7 linked regions of the Nothobranchius furzeri genome follow. The protein of the gene in region 6 purifies or fractionates together with the protein of the main gene of each other region. This does not show direct contact. Links are inferred from orthologs where the notes say so. Each region holds a gene or a part of one and is shown on either strand. Other genes may lie near its edges. The genes, in order: eapp, snrpa, prkrip1, sf3a1, ddx46, snrpe and sf3b1.

Evidence for each region.
Region 1: the proteins of snrpe (region 6) and eapp purify together in Homo sapiens (affinity purification with mass spectrometry; 3 studies listed by BioGRID and IntAct, counting the BioPlex papers as one, with this or other methods). This does not show direct contact. The link is inferred for Nothobranchius furzeri from reciprocal best matches to the Homo sapiens genes SNRPE and EAPP.
Region 2: the proteins of snrpe (region 6) and snrpa purify together in Homo sapiens (co-immunoprecipitation; 4 studies listed by BioGRID and IntAct, counting the BioPlex papers as one, with this or other methods). This does not show direct contact. The link is inferred for Nothobranchius furzeri from reciprocal best matches to the Homo sapiens genes SNRPE and SNRPA.
Region 3: the proteins of snrpe (region 6) and prkrip1 purify together in Homo sapiens (co-immunoprecipitation; 3 studies listed by BioGRID and IntAct, counting the BioPlex papers as one, with this or other methods). This does not show direct contact. The link is inferred for Nothobranchius furzeri from reciprocal best matches to the Homo sapiens genes SNRPE and PRKRIP1.
Region 4: the proteins of snrpe (region 6) and sf3a1 purify together in Homo sapiens (affinity purification with mass spectrometry; 3 studies listed by BioGRID and IntAct, counting the BioPlex papers as one, with this or other methods). This does not show direct contact. The link is inferred for Nothobranchius furzeri from reciprocal best matches to the Homo sapiens genes SNRPE and SF3A1.
Region 5: the proteins of snrpe (region 6) and ddx46 purify together in Homo sapiens (co-immunoprecipitation; 3 studies listed by BioGRID and IntAct, counting the BioPlex papers as one, with this or other methods). This does not show direct contact. The link is inferred for Nothobranchius furzeri from reciprocal best matches to the Homo sapiens genes SNRPE and DDX46.
Region 7: the proteins of snrpe (region 6) and sf3b1 purify together in Homo sapiens (co-immunoprecipitation; 4 studies listed by BioGRID and IntAct, counting the BioPlex papers as one, with this or other methods). This does not show direct contact. The link is inferred for Nothobranchius furzeri from reciprocal best matches to the Homo sapiens genes SNRPE and SF3B1.

Annotation. Positions count from the first base shown.
Region 1 is NC_091758.1:7,754,136-7,758,088, forward strand, and holds the start of eapp (E2F-associated phosphoprotein), read right to left. Parts: upstream 2,801-3,953; 5' UTR 2,693-2,800; coding exon 2,613-2,692; intron 1,064-2,612; coding exon 885-1,063; intron 707-884; coding exon 593-706; intron 526-592; coding exon 417-525; intron 340-416; coding exon 211-339; intron 1-210. UniProt on the Homo sapiens protein: May play an important role in the fine-tuning of both major E2F1 activities, the regulation of the cell-cycle and the induction of apoptosis. Promotes S-phase entry, and inhibits p14(ARP) expression.
Region 2 is NC_091753.1:42,104,708-42,108,646, reverse strand, and holds snrpa (U1 small nuclear ribonucleoprotein A), read left to right. Parts: upstream 1-1,301; 5' UTR 1,302-1,428; intron 1,429-1,738; 5' UTR 1,739-1,746; coding exon 1,747-1,822; intron 1,823-1,933; coding exon 1,934-2,106; intron 2,107-2,194; coding exon 2,195-2,353; intron 2,354-2,492; coding exon 2,493-2,657; intron 2,658-2,733; coding exon 2,734-2,822; intron 2,823-2,978; coding exon 2,979-3,138; 3' UTR 3,139-3,439; downstream 3,440-3,939. UniProt on the Homo sapiens protein: Component of the spliceosomal U1 snRNP, which is essential for recognition of the pre-mRNA 5' splice-site and the subsequent assembly of the spliceosome. U1 snRNP is the first snRNP to interact with pre-mRNA.
Region 3 is NC_091742.1:17,911,967-17,914,751, reverse strand, and holds prkrip1 (PRKR-interacting protein 1 homolog), read right to left. Parts: upstream 1,417-2,785; 5' UTR 1,322-1,416; coding exon 740-1,321; 3' UTR 501-739; downstream 1-500. Other genes in the region: glrx5 (glutaredoxin-related protein 5, mitochondrial), read left to right, coding at 1,712-2,009.
Region 4 is NC_091757.1:36,513,764-36,517,263, reverse strand, and holds part of sf3a1 (splicing factor 3A subunit 1), read right to left. Parts: intron 3,418-3,500; 5' UTR 3,386-3,417; coding exon 3,338-3,385; intron 2,505-3,337; coding exon 2,392-2,504; intron 2,295-2,391; coding exon 2,087-2,294; intron 1,892-2,086; coding exon 1,634-1,891; intron 1,540-1,633; coding exon 1,465-1,539; intron 1,371-1,464; coding exon 1,220-1,370; intron 1,141-1,219; coding exon 944-1,140; intron 829-943; coding exon 711-828; intron 621-710; coding exon 313-620; intron 203-312; coding exon 1-202. UniProt on the Homo sapiens protein: Component of the 17S U2 SnRNP complex of the spliceosome, a large ribonucleoprotein complex that removes introns from transcribed pre-mRNAs.
Region 5 is NC_091750.1:60,377,314-60,380,813, reverse strand, and holds part of ddx46 (probable ATP-dependent RNA helicase DDX46), read right to left. Parts: intron 2,316-3,500; coding exon 2,140-2,315; intron 2,020-2,139; coding exon 1,898-2,019; intron 1,797-1,897; coding exon 1,718-1,796; intron 1,028-1,717; coding exon 945-1,027; intron 831-944; coding exon 666-830; intron 574-665; coding exon 411-573; intron 318-410; coding exon 124-317; intron 1-123. UniProt on the Homo sapiens protein: Component of the 17S U2 SnRNP complex of the spliceosome, a large ribonucleoprotein complex that removes introns from transcribed pre-mRNAs.
Region 6 is NC_091743.1:2,213,663-2,217,852, reverse strand, and holds the end of snrpe (small nuclear ribonucleoprotein E), read right to left. Parts: intron 3,142-4,190; coding exon 3,063-3,141; intron 704-3,062; coding exon 648-703; 3' UTR 501-647; downstream 1-500. UniProt on the Homo sapiens protein: Plays a role in pre-mRNA splicing as a core component of the spliceosomal U1, U2, U4 and U5 small nuclear ribonucleoproteins (snRNPs), the building blocks of the spliceosome.
Region 7 is NC_091754.1:36,033,485-36,036,837, forward strand, and holds part of sf3b1 (splicing factor 3B subunit 1), read right to left. Parts: intron 2,559-3,353; coding exon 2,413-2,558; intron 2,163-2,412; coding exon 2,016-2,162; intron 1,845-2,015; coding exon 1,719-1,844; intron 1,594-1,718; coding exon 1,372-1,593; intron 1,297-1,371; coding exon 1,114-1,296; intron 1,041-1,113; coding exon 929-1,040; intron 524-928; coding exon 403-523; intron 333-402; coding exon 201-332; intron 83-200; coding exon 1-82. UniProt on the Homo sapiens protein: Component of the 17S U2 SnRNP complex of the spliceosome, a large ribonucleoprotein complex that removes introns from transcribed pre-mRNAs.

The sequences.
Region 1 (3,953 bases), on a different chromosome or scaffold from region 6:
AACACGCAGCTAAAATGATGAAACTCCATTGTTCCCTTTGTGCTCTGATACATGCGTGACACTGTAAATGATATGGACCCATCTGTGATGTGTCGTGCACCCTAGGGAACATTAGTGCAACCCGTTGTGATATTGCCATACAACTTTGTTTTTGGTTCATGCTAGCTGACACAATCAACAAGAACACACAGCAGGATAGTTGTGCCTGACCTCTGACAGTCCAGGCAGAGCGTCGTCATGCAGGCGGGACAGTTGAGAACAGCATCACTGTTGGGTAAACACCGAGGTTGGCCGGATTTGGACCGGGAGGCTGCATTTGGTTGTTTTCTGCTGTTATACCTGAACAGGAACAGAAATGGGTAAACGGCCTACAAGAAGACAAAAAAAGTACTAGTGGCAGTGTTTTACAGAACTACCGTCTGGCGTCTACCCAAGCCTGGTCCCTGTCATCCTCGTCTGGGTCATACAACAGCTCATCATTGGTAGGAACTACACGCTGTCTCCGCTTCCAGCTGGTAGAGCTGCCTGTAACAAACAGGTGAAATTAACCAAAATCAAAGTGAAGATGAAGTCGTGTAAAGTGACGTCGTACTTGGTGTGTCCTCGTCCTCTGAGTCAGAATCAAAGTAAACTTCGTCATACATCGGTGGATTGGGAACACTGGAACCTCCTACGCCACCGGCACCTGCTCCTTCACCACCGCTGTCTGAACAAAGAGAAACTTCATCACCACCACTTAAACTCTCAGGAATGATTTCATAGCAGTCGCGGAGGGCCACAATGATTATTTAATCACACACAATCATTAGTTGCCACGTCCAAAACAGGACACAATTTCCTTGGTCCAACTAAACTAGTTATAATAACATTTGTTGGTGTCCTACTAGCTGCTGGTGCCCAGGTTCCCTCCATGTTCCTGATGGTGGAGCTGAGCTCCGTCTCCATTTCCTTTTCAAAGTCATCCTCACTGGACGACTCGCTCTCCCCCGTCAGATACTCTCTGATCAGCTTCTTCTTCTGCTCTGCTGTCCCGTTCAGAAGCACATCCAGCTCATCCTCTGAACTGAAACACAACCACAAGAAGAAAATAAAAAACCTCAAATGTTTGGTCTGAGATGACCAGGGATGTGTACTTTTGAAATTCTGGCGATACGATACATATCACGATACAGGGGAGACGATACGATATATCAAGATATATTGCGATACATTCAGTCAGACGTTACAAGCAATTTTTTTTACTGAATTTATTGTAAGAATGTTTAACAGTCCAAACTGATACGTAACATGTTTAACATGAGGTATCTGAACCATGATGGAGGGATTTACATTTCAATGGTGGAAACAAAACCTGTTGCACACTGCTGCAAACTAGCGGGCGGCGATTAAATTGCACAAAACGAAAAGAAAATACACAAATGTTTGCATGTAAATTCTTTCAAGAATTAGATACACGGCTTTTGAATATCGATGTAATATTGCTGGAAAAAATATCACAATATATTGCCATATCGATATTGTCTTACATCCCTAGAGATGACTGAAAATCTACCCGACAAAACAAATGAGCAGCACTGGTGCTGCATCCCTTATTTTAACTATTACTACACAAGTGATTGACAGCTGCTGTCCGTCTCCATCTTCCGTTCCCATCAAAGTTATTTAAAATAAAAACAAGTTGAGTTTATAAGCTCGTCTGTTAGTAGCGATAACCACCTTACAGCAATACCAACAAACTAAGCACAATATAAGGCTACAAACTAGCTTCTTTTGGACAAACTGTTCCCTTCACTTCCACCACGAAGAAAGAGGTGTTCCAGTGAGTAGTATGACATCACATGCAACGGGAAAATATTTCAGCCAAGTAACTCTATGAGTCCAGGTCACATAAAACAGAAACACCAGAGCAGAACAACCAGATAATGCTCGGGGCATTGTGGCCTTGGGGTCTTGGATTCAGTGGGATAAGGTCTTGAGTTCTTCTGAGAGAGTGAATCTGTTAGCGGACTGAGTATGTACTAGCATCTCTTCTCGTCGACAGTGTTTTAATAATACTGTATAAAAGTTGTGTTGAGTTTCATCTGGACCACAGTGTACAAGTCTGCTCTATTATTTTTTTAACAAGATGTACAAAACTCTCGTTCTAGTTTTGTCGTAAATTAACCCAAGAAAACGAGTTTCTAAAAGCCCGTGTGGGTTCAAACCAAGCAGCTTAAATCCATGTTCATTTCCATGGATCATAATAAACAGGCTGTTTGAACCAGTAAAGGGACGAATCACCAGTTAATTTAAAACACCAACCTCACCTTAACGCGCCTCAACGCTGTTTCAGTTGTGATCATTTTGACCCTCTTTTTTATTTTAGAACGATTGCTCACAAACAGATGTCACATAAGATAGAAGGCAACATGCTTTACTCGCGTTTATACCAACATCAATTACGTTTATGAACAGTTTGTTTACATTCGCATAGTTTTGATCAGGCTTTGATGAGCCACCTATGTCCGATGCATCCACCACACACCATTTGAGCTGATGTCTAGTTCATGTAGAACACCGGAGATGCTAGCCACGATGCTAATGTTAGAAACCGTAGTTTATTTGATCCCTACCTGCTCGCTGCCCGCTCCTCGTCACTTGGCTCTTCGACTTCATATGAGTCAAAGTCCTGTGATTTATTCAGCATGTTCATTCTGACGGCTGAAAGTTTAACTATGGGAACATAATTACTTCTACGTAGTGACAGAAAACGACTAGTTCTATGTCACCTTTCCACTTGGTGGAAAACCAACTCCAAACTACCCTAGCGCCCTCTAGTGGACTGGAGGGTTGAGGCAGTTTTTTTTTAAACTGTTTTGTCCGGGAGTCGAACTGCGTGGGTTCGATTCCTGCTCAGTGCGAATACAAAAATAGAAATGTATGCGAAATCTGCATAATAACACTAATTATTACGTAAATAATTTTTCACAATTACCACTTTAAATTTAATTATAATTGTGATGAAGAACCACTAAGCTGTGAAATATATTTGTGATAATACACATGTAAAATTATAGAATATTTATGAAAAATTACATCTGTGTTGAAATATATTTGTGATGTTATCAATGGTAAATGGCCTGTATTTGATATAGCGCCTTCTAGAGTCATGGAACCCCTCAAGGCGCTTTACAACACAATCAGTCATTCACACACACATTCACACACTGGTGGGGAAGAGCTACGATGTAGCCACAGCTGCCCTGAGGCGCACTGACAGAGGCGAGGCTGCCGAGCACTGGCGCCACCAGTCCCTCCCACCACCACCAGCAGGCAACGTGGGTTAAGTGTCTTGCCCAAGAACACAATGACAGCGACAGACTGAGCGGGACTCGAACCTGCAACCTTCCGAAAACATATGTAATAAATGTATCTGTGTCCAAGATCATAAAAACATTAAAAGATTTAAAGTGTTTTTCGTTTATATATATATATATATATACATATATAAATACATATATACATACATATATATGTATATATGTGTGTATGTACATATTTATACATATACATATATATATATATAAATATATAAATGTATGTATATATATATATATATACATATATATATATTTATATATATATATATATAAATATATAAATGTACATACATACATACATACATACATACATATATATACATATATATATATATATATATATATATATATATATATATGTATATATATATATATATATATATTTATATATATTTATATATATATACATATATATATATATATATATATATATATATATATATATATATATATACATATATATATATATATATATATATATATATATACATATATATATACATATATATATATATATATATATATATATATATATATATATGTATGTATGTATGTATGTATGTATATATGAAACAAAAGAAGAAGTCTCAAAAG
Region 2 (3,939 bases), on a different chromosome or scaffold from region 6:
ACAAAAGCAGTAGGTAATGGTTAAGTACCTAGTAGGTACAGATTAGTACCTTCTAAGTTGGGAGAAGGCTTCACTTTCCATCATCTTGCGATGGACGGATGCCGACAATGGACAAAAAAGTGACAGACGTGTGAAGTCAAGATGAAACAGTGATGTTAAATCACTGTGATGTTGCAAATTATCTGCATTGTTCATGAAGTTTACAAAAAAAAAAAGTCCACAGGCACTACATTCATTTGGGATTTGTTCCTTAATGCGTTCAAAGATTAGTCCCTGAATAAAACTGTTGGGTTTTCACCAGTATGTATTGGTTAACTACCTATTCTTCCCTGCTTCATTACTCATTACTCCCTAAGTCGTTCCCTAGTTACGAAGCATAATTTTACGTACCTTATTGTAAAGTTACTGTTATTCTTCTTAGGTTGTCTACTCTGCCTTTTTTTGACGTCATGTTTTTCCAGTATTTCTGATTTACTGTTCAATTCAATTCAAAAATACTTTATTAATCCCAGGGGGAAACTGATTGCTGTAGTATCTCAGAATAATAATAATAATCAAGTCATCAAAGAGTTATTGTATATTACAATGGCTGTTGGCAGGAAGGATCTCCAGTAGTGTTGCAGCGAAACTGAAGAAGCCTCTGACTGAAGACACTCTTCCGTTGTCGGACAGTCTTGTGAAGAGAATGCTCACGGTTGTCCATAATTTTCTTGATTCTCTGGAGAATCCTTCTTTGCATTATCTCCTCCAGTGGTTCAGAAAGTGCCGAAACTCTGACTGAGTCCTTGAAAGGGCTTGGAGTTCCTCCATCTTGTTGGCCAGTGATCTCACATTGCCCATTATGATCGATGGGAGAGATGGTTTGAATTTCCTCTTTCTCTGTCTCCGTTTTGCTCCCGCTCTGCACCCACGCTTCTTGCGTTTTAGTTAATTTGGGATTTGTCGCGTCAGTTGAGGTATTATTTCAGCCTTTTCAATGTTAAACAGCTGCTCCCGATTGTAAACCAGCTTGTTGCCATGGTTACGCATCATAACAAATGCTCAAAAAGTGAAAAAACCTAAACAATAGCAGCAAAAGTCCTCCAAGCTTCACAGCACCAGAAACAGAAAAGTAAAGTGTCCAAAAAAATACCGTTTTTCTTGAGAAACTAGAAGAAAAAATGTCCAAGAAAAGGCTAAACTTACATATAGTTAACAGAGCTACTCCAACATGCAGCCACCCAGAGCAGCGTAAATAAGAAGAAAAACCATTTTAGTTTTAGCCATTGTAAGTTAAATGGTGTTTTGAGTTTCGCTATTTTGATTTACACCGTGTGGTGGCGGTAATTCACCAGAACGGTTTGGTAACCAACAAATAAGACAAAGAAGAAGAATTTCTTCCTCTTGTTTTCTGGGGAAAAAAGTCTCGGAGCTTTCATTCAATTTCAGGTTGGTACTACGTCAACATCTAACGCGTTTTACATGGTTAAGTGCATTTTAACTGTTGATTTAAAATATTTTTGACAAGCTTAAACGATTTGAGGTAACGTTGGAACTAGTAGAAGTATTTAGGCAGATTAATGACGCTAAATGCTGTTAGTTAGCTTTTAGCTAACACGCTGTTGTTGCCTTCCGCCATGTTTGTTACCATTGCGTTTAGATGCTGGATTTTTGAATGAAATTGGACTTGAAACTGCGTGAAAATAAGCACATGTTTGAGTCTTTATTTTATTTTTAGCTATTTTATTTATTCTCCTAGCCTTAAACATGACCACTCCAGCAGAGGTGCGCCCCAATCACACGATCTACATCAACAACCTAAACGAGAAGATAAAGAAAGATGGTGAGTTTCGCATCATTTTCTTTCCTTTTCTTTGTTTATTTCACGCACAATTAATGCAAAGTCTCCTTTATTATTGTTATTGATTATTTGTTGTTTGTGTGTCTCCCTCAGAGCTGAAGAAGTCCCTTTATGCCATCTTCTCTCAGTTTGGGCAAATTTTGGACATTTTGGTCGCACGAAACCTGAAGATGAAGGGTCAGGCGTTCGTTATCTTTAAAGAGATTAACAGCGCTTCTAATGCATTAAGGTCCATGCAGGGTTTTCCTTTCTATGATAAACCTATGGTACGTCTATTAAACATGTTTAATAATGCACAATTTAGACATTTCTGATGGAAGTACACGTGTGACTCAAATATATACTTTCTTGCAGCGAATCCAGTACTCTAAAATGGATTCGGATATTATAGCTAAGATGAAGGGGACTTTTGTGGAGCGTGACCGTAAAAAAGAAAAGAAGAAGCCCAAACCTGAATCTACAGGAAGTAAAAAAAATGCTGCAGCGATTGCTGGGGTACCTTCTGCAATCCCAGTGAGTGCACTAGGTGTTTTTTACAATCATGGTTAAACAATCTAGATATTTGTTAGTGAAGTAACGGCAGGTTTTAGATGCATTAAGAGTTAAAAGCTCAATTAACATGAATAGAAACTAAACGTTTGTCATTCTTTAGGGAATGCCACCAATGAACCAGGCTCCTCGCATGATGCACATTCCAGGCCAGCCACCTTACATGCCCCCTCCTGGAATGATGCCTCCTCCTGGGATGGCTCCAGGCCAGATTCCTCCTGGTGGGATTGCTCCTGGTCAGATGATGCCAGGACAGATGCCTCAGCAGGTAGCTTGTGTTCTTTTTCCTCACAGAACGTTTTGTTTCCTGTCCTGGTAGTTTAATCCTTACTCTCTTCCCACAGGTTTCAGAAAATCCACCCAACCACATTCTCTTTCTCACCAACCTGCCAGAGGAGACGAACGAACTCATGCTGTCCATGCTCTTCAACCAGTCAGTACTCATTTTCTAGTCATACATTTAAACAGATGCGTAAAAATGGATCAACTTTGACTGTTTTGTGATGCTAACATTGCAAATAATCTGAGAATTTAATTCTCTCAAACTGTTTTTTCTGTAATTGTAACTGAGCTGCTCTGTGCGTTAAAGGTTTCCCGGCTTCAAAGAGGTGCGTCTTGTTCCTGGTCGTCACGACATCGCCTTTGTGGAGTTTGAAAACGAGGTGCAGGCTGGCGCGGCACGAGATGCTCTGCAGGGCTTTAAGATCACTCAGACGAACGCCATGAAGATTTCTTTTGCCAAGAAATAACGCATCTTCCACCAGGTCCTGATTTAATTTGCATACATGTCCGTACATGTAAGTATCTGAGTCAAGTTGCTGTTAAGAAAGTTGGAGTGAAAAACTGGGAGCTCTAACTTTGTGCAATGGTTTGGCTTTAATCTGTAATGCTTGCGCAACTTGGTGTCCACTTCTCTGTTTTTCTGTTTCATAGTTTAAATTTTTTATTATAAACTGTTAAAGCATTGCACCCAGTGTCTGGTCCACCAGACATTGTACCTGGAGCTATTCTTTTTTTTTTATCTTGATTAAAATTTGAATTGGTAAAACACTAGACTGTTCTTTCTTTCGCTGTGTGTGTGTGTGTGTGTGTGTGTGTGTGTGTGTGTGTGTGTGTGTGTGTGTGTGTGTGTGTGTGTGTGTGTGTGTGTGTGTGTGTGTGTGTGTGTGTGTGTGTGTGTGTGTGTGTGTGTGTGTGTGTGTGTGTGTGTGTGTGTGTGTGTGTGTGTGAACAGGTTTGAGCATAAAGGATAACTCAACATTTCCTGTCTGAAATGTCAAAGAAAGGAATTGAGTTTAGAGTTGCATTTGCTTAATCAAGCCAAGCCAACTTTGTTTATAAAGCACTTTAAAAACAGCCCTCGCTGACCAAAGTGCTGAACATAAAAACATAAAAGCATAAAATAGAATACAGTGTAAGGTTAAAAGCACACTAAAATAAAACACAAATCAAATAGAAATCCAAAACGTGTTGAAAGCCAAGCTAAAAAGGTGGGTCTTTAAAGATGATTTAAAAGTTTCCAGTGAGGAGGCCTTTCTAAGATGTGCCGG
Region 3 (2,785 bases), on a different chromosome or scaffold from region 6:
GTCTATTAGTCTTGAGCTAATAACTAATAATTTGATAGGGTCTACGGTAGCAGAAGAGTGCCCACCCTAAATTTGAAGTTCTCCTTTGAGAGCAAAGGCCTCACTTCAAAACCAAACTAGAAAAATGGAATAAAACAGGTAACAGTGTGACAGCTGACAGTGTCTGACAGGAAAAGCTCTCCCTTGTTCAAACAATATCTGGCTGCCAGGATTTCCTCTACCTGCCTCAAGAAAGATGAGAGCCACTGATCAGGGTCATCACCACCGTGGAAAGCAGGAGACTGTCCAAGGAACATCGCACATGAAGCTCCAGATCCTCCAGAAGCCATGCCTTTTAATCCCTGGAGTTGCTTTCTGCAGCCTTTTGGAGCCCACAGGTGACGAGTTTCACCAGGAGCAGAGACAAGGCTGCAAAACCCCCAAATATAGACACTTATTTACTGCTCAGACATGCAAAGTAAATGTTTTAAACCCAATAAAAATGGAACTCTGCACAAAACTTTTTTTCTTATTTTATTAAAAATATGGTAATCGGATTTAAAATAAAGAAAAGCTGAGCACATGTTTAGTTTAGATGCAAACATCAAGTCTTTGTACAAAGTGAATCCAAACAGATTTAATGATCTGTGTAGAAACGTCAGAGTCCAAACATGCCTGAGATCTCCATCCCCTTCCCTTTTACATGACATATATGATGTTGCTTCTCTGAGGCTTCACACACAAAACATGGCTGATGGATTCATTTCCTCCCCATGATGAAGCTGGGAACCTCGGCATCATCATCTCCCTCTTCCTCTTCTTTCTCCTCCTTCTTGTCCTCCTCGCTGCTCTCGGAGTTCTCCTCTGCCTCCTGCTGGTTTTTCTCCTCCTGTTTAGCCTTCTTCGCCAACAGTTTCTTCTGCTTCAGCTTTTCCCGCTTGTTCCTCCGCTTCGCCGTCCGCTCCTCTGCCGCCTTCTTGTTTAGCTCCACTTTTTGGAGGTACTCCTTGTCCTTGTCTTGCTTCGCGGCAACTTTATCCAGGAAGTCCTGCCTCTGGTACTCTCTGCGGCGGAGGTGCCGATAGACATGGAACTCCCCGCTGCCTGCGCCGGCGCTGGAGCCCATGACATCCCGGACGAACTCCGGCGGAGCCCGCGGGTTCCACTCCTTGGCTCGGTCCGGGATGGGAGCAGGCTTGTCGGGGTTTCGCATCAACCGCTCCAACTTTAAACGCTGTTCATCTGCCGGAGTTTTAGCTATTATTAGAGGCTGCGCCTCTTTTCCTCCAGGTTTTCCTCCGGGCTTCCCTGGCTTGTTATTTTTCTGCGTGTAGGCCGCCATCTTTGAAAATTTCTTCTTCGGCTGCTTCCGTTTCGTACAACTCACCCCGGAAGTACTTCACGACTTCGAAAGGAATTTTTGAAAAAATAAAAAAGTATGACAAGTATAACAATTACTAGTTATTTAGGTCGTAGTAAGGCTGTAATGAAAACATTAATCAATATTTAGAAAGTAATTTGCGCAACTGACGTTGAGTTTTTTTGATTGACATTTGAATAAACCAATAGTAAAGCATATTCGATTTCAGCCAAGCTCAGTTGTCCAATCAGCATCCAGATCCCGCCTCCTAAGCGTATGTGTTGACGGACGACTTTCTCTATTGCCTCTGAGCTGAACTTGTCCGTTTACTCGCCTTTAGTTTTGCTCGACGAACGACAAAACTCATAAAAGATGAACAGTTTAATTAGATCTACTGCCAGGTGTCTCCGCTCGGGCGCGGCGGTCTGTGTGCCTAGGCAAGCGGATGGACGCGTGTGGTCGGCCTCGGTCAGGTTTCTGTGCGCGGCGGCGGACCTCCAGAAGGACCTTGGTGAAATGGTGAAGAAGGACAAAGTGGTGGTGTTTATCAAAGGGACGCCAGCCCAGCCCATGTGTGGCTTCAGCAACGCGGTGGTTCAGATCCTCCGGATGCACGGAGTGGACAACTATGCTGCTTACAACGTTCTGGAGGACCAGGACCTACGAGAAGGTCGGTACAGGGGCAACAGGTTCTCCTGATACCCTCTTTAACGATTTAATCAGTGTCCTCGTTAGCTTTAGCCTTTCATTTACCAGGTCAGTTGCTGTCTTATTCAAACTAACCACACCTCTGAGATGTTTATCCTTTTATCAGAGGCATGCAGCAGGACACACGGGGTGTGGTGAACCACCACTCACATCTCAGACTCTAGGCTCTAACCAGCTCATTTATTGTGCTTTAAATCTCATATTTGCGATTAATGAATGATTCTACTTTTTCAGGAGCGTTTTTGCTCAGCATCATAACTGAGTAGATATGTCCAGATATACACCAATTCTGGTTTTTAGGGCTAATACTGATGTCTTGCTGTTCATCTCTGGCCCAAGTACAAACTTTGATATGGACTGTTTGCGACGAGTAAGCACTTCTAAATGTACAAACTGAACAACTCTAACAGAACATGCTCTATATTGTCCGGTTGTGAACTGAATTCAGATTTTTTTTTTCTGGGTACTTCTTTAAAGTTTTAATGTGCATCGTCGGTGTGTTTTGCCCTTGTTCTGCCAACTTTACATGCAATGACTTTTTCTAACGCAAGGCAACTGTTAGGCTTCAGAGGGTAAATAAAGGTTTGTTATGCGGAAGACAAAATATAAGCAGGCTCTCAGAGGGGAATATATAATATTCATATTTTTAAATATTCCAAAATGGGCTCTAATAACCTCAGAGAACATAACCTCCAGTTTTGTTAGTAACTAGTACATCTCCCTTCACTTGTGAGTACA
Region 4 (3,500 bases), on a different chromosome or scaffold from region 6:
GCAAACTTGCAACAGAGGAAGGTATAGGAGGTGGTTGGTGAATTTCACTTGGCTTGCTAGGACCAATTTTCTCCTTAGTGTCATCTTCTCCCACCAGCCCTTTGGCTTTGTGAATAGCTTCAATTTGCTCCTGCAAAGTGATGTTAGCCTGTGCAGCCTGCTGTGTACGAGCCATGCTTCCAGAGTGGCCGTCCCAAGTAACCTGATGAAAGTAGAGGAGCACAAAAATGTATTAAGTGTGCAAAAGCCAACTTTAATGTAGTTTTTTGTTTGTTTTTTTAGATAAAAGACTGAGCTGCAAACATTTCTCACCTTCTCCTCTGGCTTCTGAATTTCCTCTTCACCTATCTTCTTACCGATGGCCGTCTCTTCCACACCAAAGATATCAGTACGCCTCTCAGCGAGCTGTTTCAAGCTGCTTTCAATGTCAAGACCTGGAGCATAGACCTCATCTTCTGTCTGCCTCTCTCTGATGCTCCGATCTCTTTGTTCCAGCCAGCGCGGGTCAAGCAGACCAATATGCATGTGCTCCTGCATCTTGCTGGCTGGAATCTTCTCACCAGTAATTGGTGAAATCAGGTATTCATCAGGAACTGCAATTGAGGGTGGAGGCTTGGAAGCTGTGAGAGAGAGAAACATTATGAGTTTATTGTATATAAAGTAGCATCTTGTCATAATACTTTTTTTTTTCAGCTAAAAAAGGAGGTTACCTTTGGGGTCATAATCCTTGCGAATAATAACTTGGTCTGGAGTTGGAGGTAAGGGAGGAGGCATAGGTTTTTCAGGTGGGAGCGGAGCTTTCCTACCTTCATCTTCATCATCAGAACCCTGAAGGAACAGCAATAAAAAGAATTGTTCATCGTTGTTTCCTTAACTTTTGTTCTCCAACTTATGAATTAGCTGTATGGATTACTGAAGTACAATGTGGTTAATCAGTTCTAACCTCATCCATGTCCTGCACTTGAGTGTCTTGATCAGGTTGTGAGGGTTGACCGTCAGCCCGACCCTCACGTTCATCATCTTCGTCCTCGCTCTCAACCTCCATCTCCACCTCCTCACTTTCTCCATACTTCTCGTAACGCTCTTGGATCAAGATGCGAGCACCAAGCTCTTCAGGATTAGTAGGTGGGGGGAAGTGACCTGTGGGAACAAATAGACAAAGTTAAACGATTCTAGTTGCTTTTAGGGGCTTTGATGTTTGTGCCTACGGAGGTGTTACCTTGTTCATTAGGCTGGAAATCCACAGTCTCTACCACTACAAAGTCATGCCAGTCAATCTGGGCATATGCTACTCGTTCTTTCTCCCGTTCCTCCTCTTCCTTTTTCCTCTCACGCTCCTGGTACTTTGCCCACTCAACACGGTATCTCACCTGATGTTTGTACACAAAAACAAATAATCAGGGGGGGGGGGGGGGGGGGGATACAAAATTGCTTCTTTTGGCAAATACTGCTGAAAGAAATTACCTGGTCCATCACTTCTTTTGGGTTCTCAGCCTCCTTCTTAAGCTTAGTCAGTAAGCCTTTGGGAGGGATCAATATCTAGATACATATAAGAAAAATATTAAGATACAGCCAAGTGTCCTAAACATAAAAATAACACCAATAAACTGAAAGATATAATCTGCTAACTCACCTTTGTGTACTGCTCAACCAGTTTGGTAAAGTAGTTAAAAAGGCTGTGCTGTGGCCGTAGAAAGTCAAACTGGTAGTTCCTCTGCTCTTTCTGCATGAGCTGGGTGAGAAACTGTCGGCCATTGCGAGCAACAAACTGGGCAGTGAGCTTGACAACATCCAGATCAAATGCAGAGATTGATGGAGGATCTGCAATGAACTCGAACTCAGGAGGTGGTTCTTTGGGGATCACAGTCTCCTGAATCACCTGTGACTGCACCTAACAAACACAGCATAAGTCATTTTTGGGAGAAAAAAAAAAAAAAAATAAATAAAATTATATATATATATATATATATATATATATATATATATATATATATATATATATATATATATATATATATATATATATATATATAAAATATAATATAATATATATATAAACTGTAAAAACAGAGGATAAACGTCTTACTTTCTGTGGGAGCTGCTGGGACTGCTGCAAAGCCTGCTGCTGCATAACCTTAGGCACAGCTGCAGATGGTTCTTGTGCTTTGCCCTCTTTAAATTCAGTAACCTTATGACGGTAATAGGCATGGTATGGATCGTTGGGGTTGAGGAAATTAAACTTTGGATTGTTGATCTCATTCTGACGGATTCTTGCTTCGAACTCAGGCCCATTCCTGAAAAAGAAAAACAAGCAAAAGACAAGAGTGTAATGGAAACAAATACTTGGGGAAATTCTCACTGCAGATCGGTGACACGTATACTGTAACTAACCTGGCAACAAAGCTGGCTGTCTTGTCCACTATATTCCGGACCTCAGGAGGAGGGTATATGATGCCAACAATGGGCTTAGTGGCCGGGGTTTCTTCTGCAGGTGCATCGTTTGGCTGACAAGATAGTTGACATATCAAAAGATAAAGACACAATGCAATTTATATTTAGGATCATAACTACGAGTGATTTTAGATTATGAAGAATTACACATTAACAATCATTGACTTGTCACAGTCTGTCACTGACTTGAGTGCTTAAAATTTAATGACTATCTAGCAACCAATCAGGGAAAAAAGCTGAACTATTGGTTAAATAGAAACATCTGTGTAAACCCACCCAAAAAAGCTAAAAATAAAAAATAAAGACATTAATAATTAAATAAAAATAAATACATCTAACACCAGCAAATGTCAATCAAAACAAAGAATGAAATAAACATGTAGGAAAAAGGAAAACATGTTTATTAGTGTTGAAAAAAATATCCGTTTAGAATGGGAAATGCCTAAAAAATCGGTCATAAAACTTATTTAAAAGCAGTTTTTCCTTTTCAGGCCTTTTTGATTTTATGTTATCAGGTATGGATCCTAATGTTTGTCTTTGAAGTAAGCGATCTCTATCTCCAATATGTTGCTTTTAAACAACATTAAAATATAATACGATGAATAAATGTTATTTGCTTCGACATAATTCAATGTGGAGTGGATCATTCTGGAGAGAAAAGTTAACGTCCGAGTCCTTGGGTCTCGAGTTATGCGGCTTTAGGGTACTCTGGATATGGTCGTATATGTAGAATAGTTAAAAGTGTAATTGTATTATTCAACACATTAAAAAAGTCCAGATGCTACATAGCAAAAATATCGAAACTCTATATTTTTGGTTCAATAGTTTAACGAAACTGTAAGTCTTGCTAGCTTGGCAGTTAGCTTGTGCTAACTTGTAGCATTACCTTGTTGTTGGGCTCCGGCTGAACTATCTGAACAGGCCCAGGCGGCATGGTTAGGTCTGCCTGTGAAAACCGATTGATACCTGAAACATACAACCCCCAGGAAGTGAATTTGCAATTTCAATGGAATTTCATACAAACATCCACATTAAAATCACAGCAATGC
Region 5 (3,500 bases), on a different chromosome or scaffold from region 6:
TTTATTTCTAGCAACTCAAAGAAACTAAAAGTAAAAAAAAAAAACACAAATCTACCTCTACATGAGAATTTTTATTTTATATTTCCAAAATAACTTCTGCAAAAAAGAAAAAATTAGACCAACCTTGTTGCCTGCTCTGCCTGTACGTCCCGCCCTGTGTACGTAGTCCTCATAGTGGTTGGGACAGTTGTAGTTGACCACCAGGATCAGCTGTTTGACATCCAGGCCTCTGGCTGCTACAGAGGTGGCCACCATCAGGCGACAGGCTCCGTTCTTAAAGTCATTGATGATGCTGTCTCTGTCATACTGGTCGATTCCTGAAATGACAGCGAAACTAAATCTCAAACACTGACCCCTTTGTTCCAGATTTAAGTAAGATGATCGACGCAGATCCTAACGCGACTCAGTACCTCCATGTAAAGACATGCAGGGGTACGAGGCTTTCATCAGGTCTTTGAGTAATCCGTCCGCGTGCTCCTGTTTGTCCACAAAGATGATGACGGATCCCTTCTCCTGGTAGTGACCTAAAATCTCCAACAGTTTCAGGAACTTCTTATCCTCTTCAATCACCAGCTACAGGAGGGGGAAAAGGGAAGCAGCAGAGGATGAGCTGGTGGAATAAAATGATTCTGGCGATTTAGACGTGGAGTTTATTAAATATGTACCACGTGTTGTTCCACGTCAGAGCAGACGACGCTGCGACCTCCGACCTGAACCTCGATGGGCTTTGAAAGGATCCTGCGAGCCAGCGCCTCCATGGCTCTGGGGAAGGTAGCGGAGAACATGACCGTCTGTCGGTCGGGACGCACGTTGTCCACAATACGCATCACCTGCAAGTGACATACGGTTTTTTTTTTTTGCGAGTTTACCAAAAATACATGCAAGTAACCATCTAGTCTCTAAAACCAAGGATGAAAAATAGTTTAAATCTGGGTGATGCTCACCTGCGGTTCGAAACCCATATCAAACATCCTGTCTGCTTCATCCAACACCACGTAGGTAACCCTGCGCAGGTTGGTTACCCGACCTACATATTGAGGAAGGGGAGCATCGGGAATATAAATCAACCATGAGAAAAGCTCTTTTCTCTAAACAGCCAACATTATAATCTGGCAAACACAGTCCGTTATCTGGATAAAGCTACTTGAAATTATTTAAAAACTGCATCCATGTTTTCTTTAGGAGTTTATTTTTTTGACATTTTGAATTCCTGGATTTGCTCGTCTTTATTCTTGCGTACCATCTCAGGGACATGAGGGACCTATAAAAGTCAGAAAACAGCCTCAAGATACAAAACAAGAGACGGAGCCCCTTCACCTACAAGGGAAACATATTACAGATTACCTCGCATGTGTGGAAACAACAGAACCCCTGATTAGCAGTCAAATATAATAAAATCACATTTTAATTACATTTAAGAAACAGACTACAGACCCTAACTGATCTAAATTGTTCTTCAGTCTGATTAATCCCAGCGTTGAGACACAAGAACTGTGGAGGCAGCGCCAGGTCCACCTACCTGGACTCGCTCTGATCTTCAGAAAACATCATTGTCTTGTAGAACCAAAAATTGCCAAATAATGTCGACAGTTTAGTAACAAGGTACCGATTTGAATCATATACTGTCACTTTTAAACCATGCAGTTATTACAAAAAAGCTGCAAATAAATCTGAAAACCCTAATATGAAGTCTGAATACGGAGGTGGATTAACTCACCGCTGTTCGCTCCCAACATGTCGATCATTCTCCCCGGTGTGCAGACGATGATCTCTGCTCCCCTTTTCAGCTCAGCAATCTGCAATCCACCAGCATGAGAAGAAGGTATCAGTGAAAGGGCTCAAAAGACAACAACATGTTGGAAAAAGCATCACACGGCTGCATTATGAGGGTTTTTACCTGTTCACTGATTCCCGTGCCTCCGTAAACACACACTACTCTGAGTCCCAGTGATTTGGAGAACTTCTTGCACTCCTTGGTGATCTGCAGCGCCAACTCTCTGGTCGGAGTCATGATTACAGCTGTGGAGATGCAGAAACATGCCATCAAACAGTTTAAAGCACCAAAATCATAACACATTTGTCATTCATTCTTTTGAGTCCTGACAAAGACGTATACAGGACGTATAAAATTATCCTTACAGATGGGTCCCTCTGCCTCCTCCAGCGGTCTCTGATCCATGATGTGTCGGAACATGGGCAACAGGAAAGCAATGGTTTTGCCACTTCCAGTCTTAGCGATGCCAATGAGGTCTCGGCCTGACATGATGGCAGGGATGGCCTGAGCCTGGATGGGTGTGGGCTTCTCGTAGCTGTGCCTGGGGGAACAACAGAAAACATCCTGTGATGTTTACATCAGTTAAAACACTGCATCCTAAAATATTACTGATTAACCCCCAGAGACCCACGGTTGTAATATTACAACATCAGATTTAAGTCTACAAAAATAAACCTTCCCCATTTTTTTTTCTTTTTAAAACCACATTTACATTGCTAATAGGTCCTATTGTTCAGTTCTGCAACACTATTGGCCGTTAAAATGTGTAAATAGGCCCGTTTATTTGGCCTCCTAGAACAACATGTGAAAGGTTAAAAAAAGATTTTGCAGTTGTTTTCTAAATTTGGGTTTCTGGGGGTTAAAGCTGTCATCCACAAATTTTTTTCAATACATTTGCAGCGGTCTCTAGTATAAATAAATGCCTGGGTGAAAAACGGCAGGATTTGCAGTCTAGCTCATTCGCGGTTTTTGGACATCTCACCTCTGATTGGCTTACAGCAACGTGACTCTGGCACTGAACCTGTTTGATTTGCAATGTTGATGTTTTATCTGCACAAATAACTCAAGCCTGAAGGAATTCTGCCATGTTGTGGCGTTGCTAATGCTAACAGTTAGCTTCTACTAGCTGAGTCACGCTCTGCTCTCTGCTGGTGTCAAAAACCAACAACAACCATCCCCGTTGCGTGGGAAGATGGTTGAGTCCAAGATTGCTAGTTTATAGTTTTACGAAGATCTGTGTGGCTTTTTTTAATCCATGCATTTCCTCATCTGTTTCCATTCTCCGGCTAAGGCTTGGTTTATGCGTGACGCATTCACTTTCCGCTTGGTGATGCGGCTCGCGGATGGAACGCGCTTCACAACTCGCAGTGTTTATGGTTCATGCGGCTCGTTTCTGCGGTGAGCCAATATTCTCCCAAACTGTAGGGGGCAGCATGGAGCTCTAGGCATGCATCCAACACTACACCATAGTAGAAGTAGAAATTACTGTTTACAACATGGCATTCCAGCATTTTTAACAGCGTCCTCGTCTTATCCGACAGTGCGAGCTATTTCTCTCCAAGAATTATTAACAACATGTTGATCACGGTGATCTTTGAGAGCTGAATCATACAAATGTCTGTATTTACGAACCTCTGCCATACTAGTTCTTGCCAGTCTGCCATGTTTTTCCGCGCCCGACCGTCTGCGTGGTTAGAAAATTTCCTCGGTGTGCGGTGCGGAAAGT
Region 6 (4,190 bases):
GATAATGCTGCCGCTGTGAGCTGCAGGCTAAATATACCATCCTCCTCCATTAGCTGGCGGGCTAAAATGGCTCAGCCACTCCTAACGGATGTCATGGCTGAATGAGGGAATCCATCCCAGTTGCTCATACAGAACACAAACATGAGACACGCGCCAGACCAAACCACGAACACCGTCACGTTAAACCCGCACAAACCAGACAAAATTAACGAACCTACCGTGGGACTTAGGTGAGTTGCTCCGCCGGGCGTTGGCAGCTTCGCGCTCGGGGTTTCCCAGTCAACTGAACAGGGGCACGCTGCGTACGTACTGAGGTATTACGTCATCCCGCTGAAACAACTCCCTTCACCGAGTCTGCCTTCAGCTACGAGCCCGAGTTCTGCTTCATTTATTCATTTACTAACATGTGCACCTGTGTACGTGGAGCAGTGCTCCGTCACACCGTCACCAGCTGGAAGTGTCGCTCAGAGACCTTCTTACACTTAGACAGCAACACAAACTGAAAGAAAACACTTTATTTTCAAAACTGTTCAATATGGTTGAGGAACAATTAAAATATCCATGTAATTAGAACCCAAATAGCCCCAAAATGGAAAAACATTTGCTCGGAAAAAAAAAAAAAAAGAGTCACTGGCATCTCCACGTCTCTAGTTGGACACACTCTGCAGCAGGGTGATGTTGTCTCCCTTCAACATGATCCTCCCTGAGACACAAACAGACGCAGAAGCAGACAGGTCAGTTCACAAAACGAGAGACAAAGTGTCCGTTTACACAAATCAACATGGAATCCCCAACACCAGGAATTCTAGAGCCTCAGTACAATCACAGGGTGGCAGCAAGCCGCTCAACGGGCCGCCCTGCTGGACCCAGCAGGAGCAGCTTTACAGAGGGTGTTCCTCATACACACACACACACACACACACACAATAGGGCTGGTGATATGGCCTAAAATTAATATCACGATACATTGAGGATTTCACCTCGATAACGATAAATGGACGATAACTACAGGTGTGTGCAGAGACCAAAGTTGTCCACTAGATGGGGCTGTCACATGTGTTACATTGGTCTTGTTCGAGATGAGCCAGTTCTGCGCAGATTAGATCACCGGTGATCAGCGAGCAGTGCTTGCCGGTTGTCCGATTTGACGCCGACTTGCTCTGACGTCATGCCTACGTAGGCAGCGATAACCTCGTGAGATCAAGGCGGCTGCAGATTTTGAAGCAAGGCGCTGCAGTTGGTCTCCATCAGCTGCAAAACCTAGAGGACGGAAACGCCTGGCTCTCACCTGATCTAAGATCTGATTGGTTCATATTCTGATCCAAACATCCGGTGGTAGAATGCGAAATGTTAAGTCACATGTATTCTGTAAATCATGTTACGTTGATGATGCAGTAGGATTATTTCCAGCTGTGTGTGTGTGTGGGGGGGGGGGGGGGGGTGGGGGGTTATGACACGTCTCACCTTCATGTTAATATTGTTTTATTTGATGCCCTCCACTCTGAACTGCACCAATCCAGCGACTGCTGCATTTTAATAACTAGTATTAAAGGTGAATACACCAACATTTGCACAAGAATAATTTCTGTTTTAAACTCTCAGTGACACACTTTGCAGGGGGGGGGGGCATTTAATTTTACTTGGCGTCTGGAAAAACATCTCCTTCTGCCCCCCTTTATTTTGGTCCAAGACCATTGGTGGGCTGGCCCTGTTAAACACCTTCTACACCCCTGCTTAGTAGACTTAATGAAGTATTTTTAAGCCAGTATAAAAATGACTGAAACACAAATGTACATATTTAGCATTATTGACCAATATCTTTGATTTAATTTATTGTTAAGAACATCAAGATGCATTACAGTGAACATTATAATAAAGTACATGTTTCCAGTGCAGAGAGGAGACGACCCATAGAAGTACTGGTCTGATCTCATTTCAGAGAAAACTAGAACAGGTCAGATGCACCTAATAAATAAAATTACTAACATAAACTCAGGAATCTGTTTCTTTGCTTCATTGTTCTGGTGCTGAAAACATCACTAATGTGGATCAGATACACAGATGAATGCACCTTATTTATTATTAGGAAATGAGTGGGTGTGGTTTACATCAATACATTATTTTACATCTGAAATTGATATGGATTGATCAGAAGTTGATATGTGTGTATTGTTTATTTGAAAACTATTTACAGAGCAGCCTCAGAACTGAGATTAAATATGTTTGATCACAATAGTAAAGGAACTATTACAGAACACGTTGTTCAGTAAAATCAGAACATTAATGTTTAAGTGCATGAACTAATGCATCTGAACTCATGCAGTAGGAACTAGGAAATATGAGATACTAGAACATTTTATTTTTATTTGATTTAACTGATTTTTCCTAACGTTGTTGGCATTTTTCCCCACACACACTTAGACAAAACGATGATATACTTCCTAACAAAATCTCTTCAGCTTCATCATCAGAGTCTGACGACCATGGCTGTGTAAAAGCTTCATGTTTCCTGAAGCCCTACTGGAGCTTTGGGAGCCTTTTCCCTGGTGAAAGCACGTCATTCTCCTTGTTTAGAGGTGCTTCTACCTCTTCACTTCCAGAGGGGTTGCCTCCAAAAGTTGGTTTTCCAACGTTTCCTCAGAGCCTGACTTCTTCTTGTCAGCACCAAGTTGCCTGATTAGAGCTCCTTACATTCCTCCTGCTGCTTGTTTGTTTTCTGAAGCTGTTGTTGTCTTTCCTTGCTAATCAGGAGCTCGAGTCAGTCCTTCCACCTTTTTAGAGTGTTTTACGGGATTTTCTTATTCAATGATGGTGGAATATTTTTCTCAATACCCGGCTGCAAATCTTCTCCAGCCTTTGATCTTTTTCCCAAAGAAACATGTCAAATGTGTGAGTTTGGTGTTCTAGCGCTGCTTTTGTGAGAAGAAACCATCAGGCACCTGCTTAGGTTAAGTAATGCAGGAGAACTGCCTGTTTGATGTGAAGAAAATGGAGAATCAAACTGAAGTCATAATTCAACCTTCTCTTAAATCAGTTTAGCCCTAGTCAGCATGCACTCTTACCCAGTGGCTTTCTGTTCTTGGTCTTCATGTGGATTTCTTCAGAGTCATCTAGAACCAGGTTCATGTATTCATCAAAGCCCTGAAACATAAGCAGAGACTCAGACTGAAGCAGAGCAGCACTTCACCTGGTCACAACTCTTTAACTCGTAGTGGGATTATCTCTACAAGGCCCATCAACCTGGCCGTGTTTAAGATCACATCAGTTATGGTCGTACACCGCCCGGTAGGACCGTCACGTCCGCACGACCAGGTTCTCAGCTCGGTGTTCAGTTTCAGACATCCCATAAAAACAATACTAGCTCATCACCATGAAGGTTAGTCTGCTGGAGAAAATACACACAAATGCACCTTCCTGAGTGACTGAAAACCAGAGCTGTAGCAAAGCTTCGATGACGCCAACGTCAGATCCGGTAGTCGACGCACCGCGCCCACTTGTTGCATCCCCAGGAGTTAGTAAGTAGAGGAGGAATCTGCCTGTGTTTCCTCTAGTTCGCCTTCACTAACATCTCCGCCAAATACCGAAGACCCGGAACAACGTCCGTCCGCTACTAGATTCCTTTCCTGTTTTGCCCGCCTTCGTCTCCCGGCAACGGACAACAACTTCCGGGGTCAGATGCGCTGCTCCGTCTCTACCGCAGATGTAGAACATCACCGGGAGCGTTTCTCCCTTCATGAAGGAGCTTCTTTCAGACATTAGGAGAGCTGTTTTGGTGGTAGCAGTCTCTCCTCCCTACTGAAAACAGCCGTCTACTCAGGGTCTGAAATTAACACTCGCCACTCGCCAAATGCGAGCAAATTGCTCCATTTGGCGAGTAAATTTTTGAGCTCTACCTGCCACCTGGCGAGTAAATGTTTGCACCAAATTAGTTATGTTTATCAGTCATCTTCCATGGATTTCTGATCCTCCTCCCGCCTGCATGCAACGTACACAAACGTACGCGAAACGTGAACGCCGCATCCAACGTCATTTCCACCTATCCCATTCAATCAGTTTATCAAGTTAGCCGTTAGCTTCGTGTTAAAACTAGCGGTGAAATGTGGCGGTTTTTAACTGGAGTCAGCCAGCCTTCCAAAAGAAAACTCGTCGAACTGGAAGAAAACCACCAGGACCAGTGGCAACCAGAAGAT
Region 7 (3,353 bases), on a different chromosome or scaffold from region 6:
AATGGCCACAGTCGTGCACACTCTGTTCTGACGCTCCTGAACCTTCAGGTTGTTGAGCAGAGTGGCCAACACGTCATGAGGCCTGCAAAGAGACGGGACCAAAGATCAGCCATGTTTGTTCATTTAGCAGACACTTTTGCCTGAAGACTAAATTGCATGTTGTGGGACTCAAATGCATCTCCAAAATTTCATGTTCTCACCCAATGGCTTTGGCGATGTAACCAAACGTGTTGACGGTGGCTCTGCGAATAGCTTTTTTGTGAGCTTTGAGTAGCTCCAGCAGTTCAAAGCAAATCCTCATCCACTCCCTGGCTGACACATATTCAGCTCCCCTTGAAAAACAATCAAGAAGCAATGAGACTCAGTGGTGGACCAGCTGCTCAAGCCTGAAACTCCACTGACCTGTCGGCGATCCTGCCCACCAGATCGATGCAGTTCTCCTGCACTTTCTCATGTCTGTTCTTTAGGATGGGGGTCAAACGTGGAAGCAAGTCTTTGATTGGGGGAGTCATCTTGTGCATACCTGCAAAAACATCAGTGCAAATGCATCATGTTCCACGGCCCAAACAGCAGCAACCAAACACCAAACACTGAGCTGGAAGGCAGTGAGTCTAGGGATGGGTACCTTTGACATTTGAATCGATTCGGTACTAATTCCCGGTACCTAGGAATCTCATCTCTTATGAAGGATGGGTACCGAAACGAGGCACCGTTTCAAATGACGGGAATCGGTGCTCAGTCGGTACTATGGAATTCGGTTGGTACCTTAAAAAGTACAGAATTCGGTACCCATCGCTAACAGTGACACACATTTCTCTAACGTGAATTTGTGTCTAATGAACCGGTTTGAATGAAAGAAAAAAAAAAGAAACCAAAAACTAGAACCAAATATGAACTTCTGGCTATGGCAGAAGTATTCCCAACATACCAATAACGTTAACGATGGCCTTCAGAGCTCCCAGGATGCTGCCCAGCACCTCCGGGTACTCCTCTCCCAGGTACTCGTACAGCACCACACCCAAGTGACCCATGAGTTTCTCCTGCAGAAACAGAAACAAGGGTCAGTCTGTGTGCCACGTCACATGTGGCTCTTTGATGTCCAGTGTAGCCCACCTCCTGACAAGTCTTCATCACCACTGCGGTGCGAGAGATGAGGTCTGCTGCCTGCTGACGAACTTTGGCTGACTTGTTGTTGAGACGCCACAAGACTGTACCGCAGATCTGAGGCAGGTATGGCTTGACACGCTTCCCGAGGGCATTCACAACCGTACCAAAACCATTCAGCATCACAGAGTCCTGCAGACAGAAATGGAGGTATTTAACTACTCATGTTTGGAAAGAAAACTTTCCCACGACGGCGCTTTGTCCTACCTCTGTGGTCTGTTCCTGGAAAGCGTACAGAATCCCATCAATCAGCTGCTCCTCCAGTTTGTGGTCGATGTCAGCTGCACCCAGGTTTCCCATGATCTTTTCAATAGTCTCCATCACCATCTTCCTGTACTGCTCTGCCTCATCCTTCAGGTCATCAACAATGCGAGAGATGATCTCCGCTGCTCCAACTTTGTTAGCCAGCTCCACAGTGGTGTCCACCAGCTGAAAAAAGGTCAAGTAAAGCTCTAATGATTTCACAAGTTCCAATGCTACCGATGCTAAACTGCAGAGAAACTTTGGCATCTGCTCTCAGACGAACTACATCTAGTTTACTACCACTCACTGACCTGTCTATAGTTGCGTCTGTCGAGAGCCATCCTGTGCTGCCAGAAGTGCTTAAAGAAAGGGGGAAGGATCTCGGTCTTGATGTAGTTAGCTTCCACACCATCAGTGCCACAGCACTGCTTCACCACCTAGGAGACAACAAAGCATCGTTAGAAATGCATTTAGACATCCTTCAGTTTTAGACTGTCCACGGTGAGTAGGGCTCAAGAAGGTGCTTTACAAATACATTCAGCACTTTTCATCTGGACCAATAGCCCTGCGACGAGCTCGACAGGCAATAATAAAGAACTGCTCATTACCTTGAGTACGATCTTCTTCATCTCCTCATCTGGAGACTGGAACTCTCTGATAAGGATCAGCATCACCTCCCTTGTGTAGTAGTTGGCATACTCAGCATCCATCAGTGGGATCAGGTACCCGATAGCTTTGAGGAAAGCAGCCAGACCCTGATGACCAAACAAGCAGTTTACACTCTGAACTTGTTCACAAGTTCTTGTTTGTAAATATTAACGTTGGATTTTTTTGTCTGCTGCTCCCAGTTGTGAGGGGTCTTCTACTGGACCTAAACTGGGAGCAGCAGCTCCTACTGGGAGATGATTTAGCAAGCAAGTATTCACACTGCAGCCACGAGCAGACTCAGTGCTGGGTGTTGATCTTGCAGAGGACTTTTGATACTCTCCTGAGTGAGCTTCTTACCTTTCCTCTGTGCTGCCGGATACCCTTCCACAGAGGCTTCAGCACCGAGTCAAAGGACTCGATACCGTAGGGTGTAGCAGCTTCAGCCAGGGCAGCTATGGCCAAAGCACTGATGGTCCTCACCTTCTGCTGCTCATCCACCAGACCTGATAATCAAAAGAACTCAATGATCAGTACCCGGTATGAGAAAAGAGTAATGTTCCTAAAAGAGCACGTCTAACAGAATCAAACAGGACTCTAAAACCCAAATGTAATAAGATGATAAACATGTAGAAAAATAAAATCTCACTGCTGCCTCCTCTACGTCTGTAGACTCTACGGCTGAAATGTAGTTTTTCCTCCAGAAAGAGGACCCGCTACAGCACCACTCGGTGGTGGTGCGAGTTCCTGAGCTAAACTTTCTCTAGAGAAATGGACATGTTTGACCCAAAACAAGCGTCACCTTTCAGATGTTTGCTCTGACCTCCACTAGAGCTGAAGCGTCAGATCCGGTAGTCGACGCACCACACCCACTTGTTGCATCCCCAGGAGTTTGTAAATAGAGGAGGAATCTGCCTGTTTTTCCTCTAGCTCGCCCTCTTCTTCGCCTTCACTAACATCTCCACCAAATACTGAAGACCCGGAACAATGTCCGTCTGCTACTAGATTCCTTTCCTGTTTTGCCCGCCTTCGTTTCACGGCAACGGACAACAACTTCCGGGGTCAGATGCGCTGCTTCGTGTCTACCGCAGATGTAGAAAATCACCGGGAGCGTTTCTCCCTTCATAAAGGAGCGTCTTTCAGACATTAGGAGAGCTGTTTTGGTGGTAGCAGTCTCTCCTCCATGCTGGTCTGTTTGCCGCTGGGTGTTTTTGGTTTATTTAAACTTGGTAACTTGAGCTTAACGTTGGTAAAGCTACTGTTAGCATTTTCGCTAACAGCTTCTTGCGTTTGGATAAGCC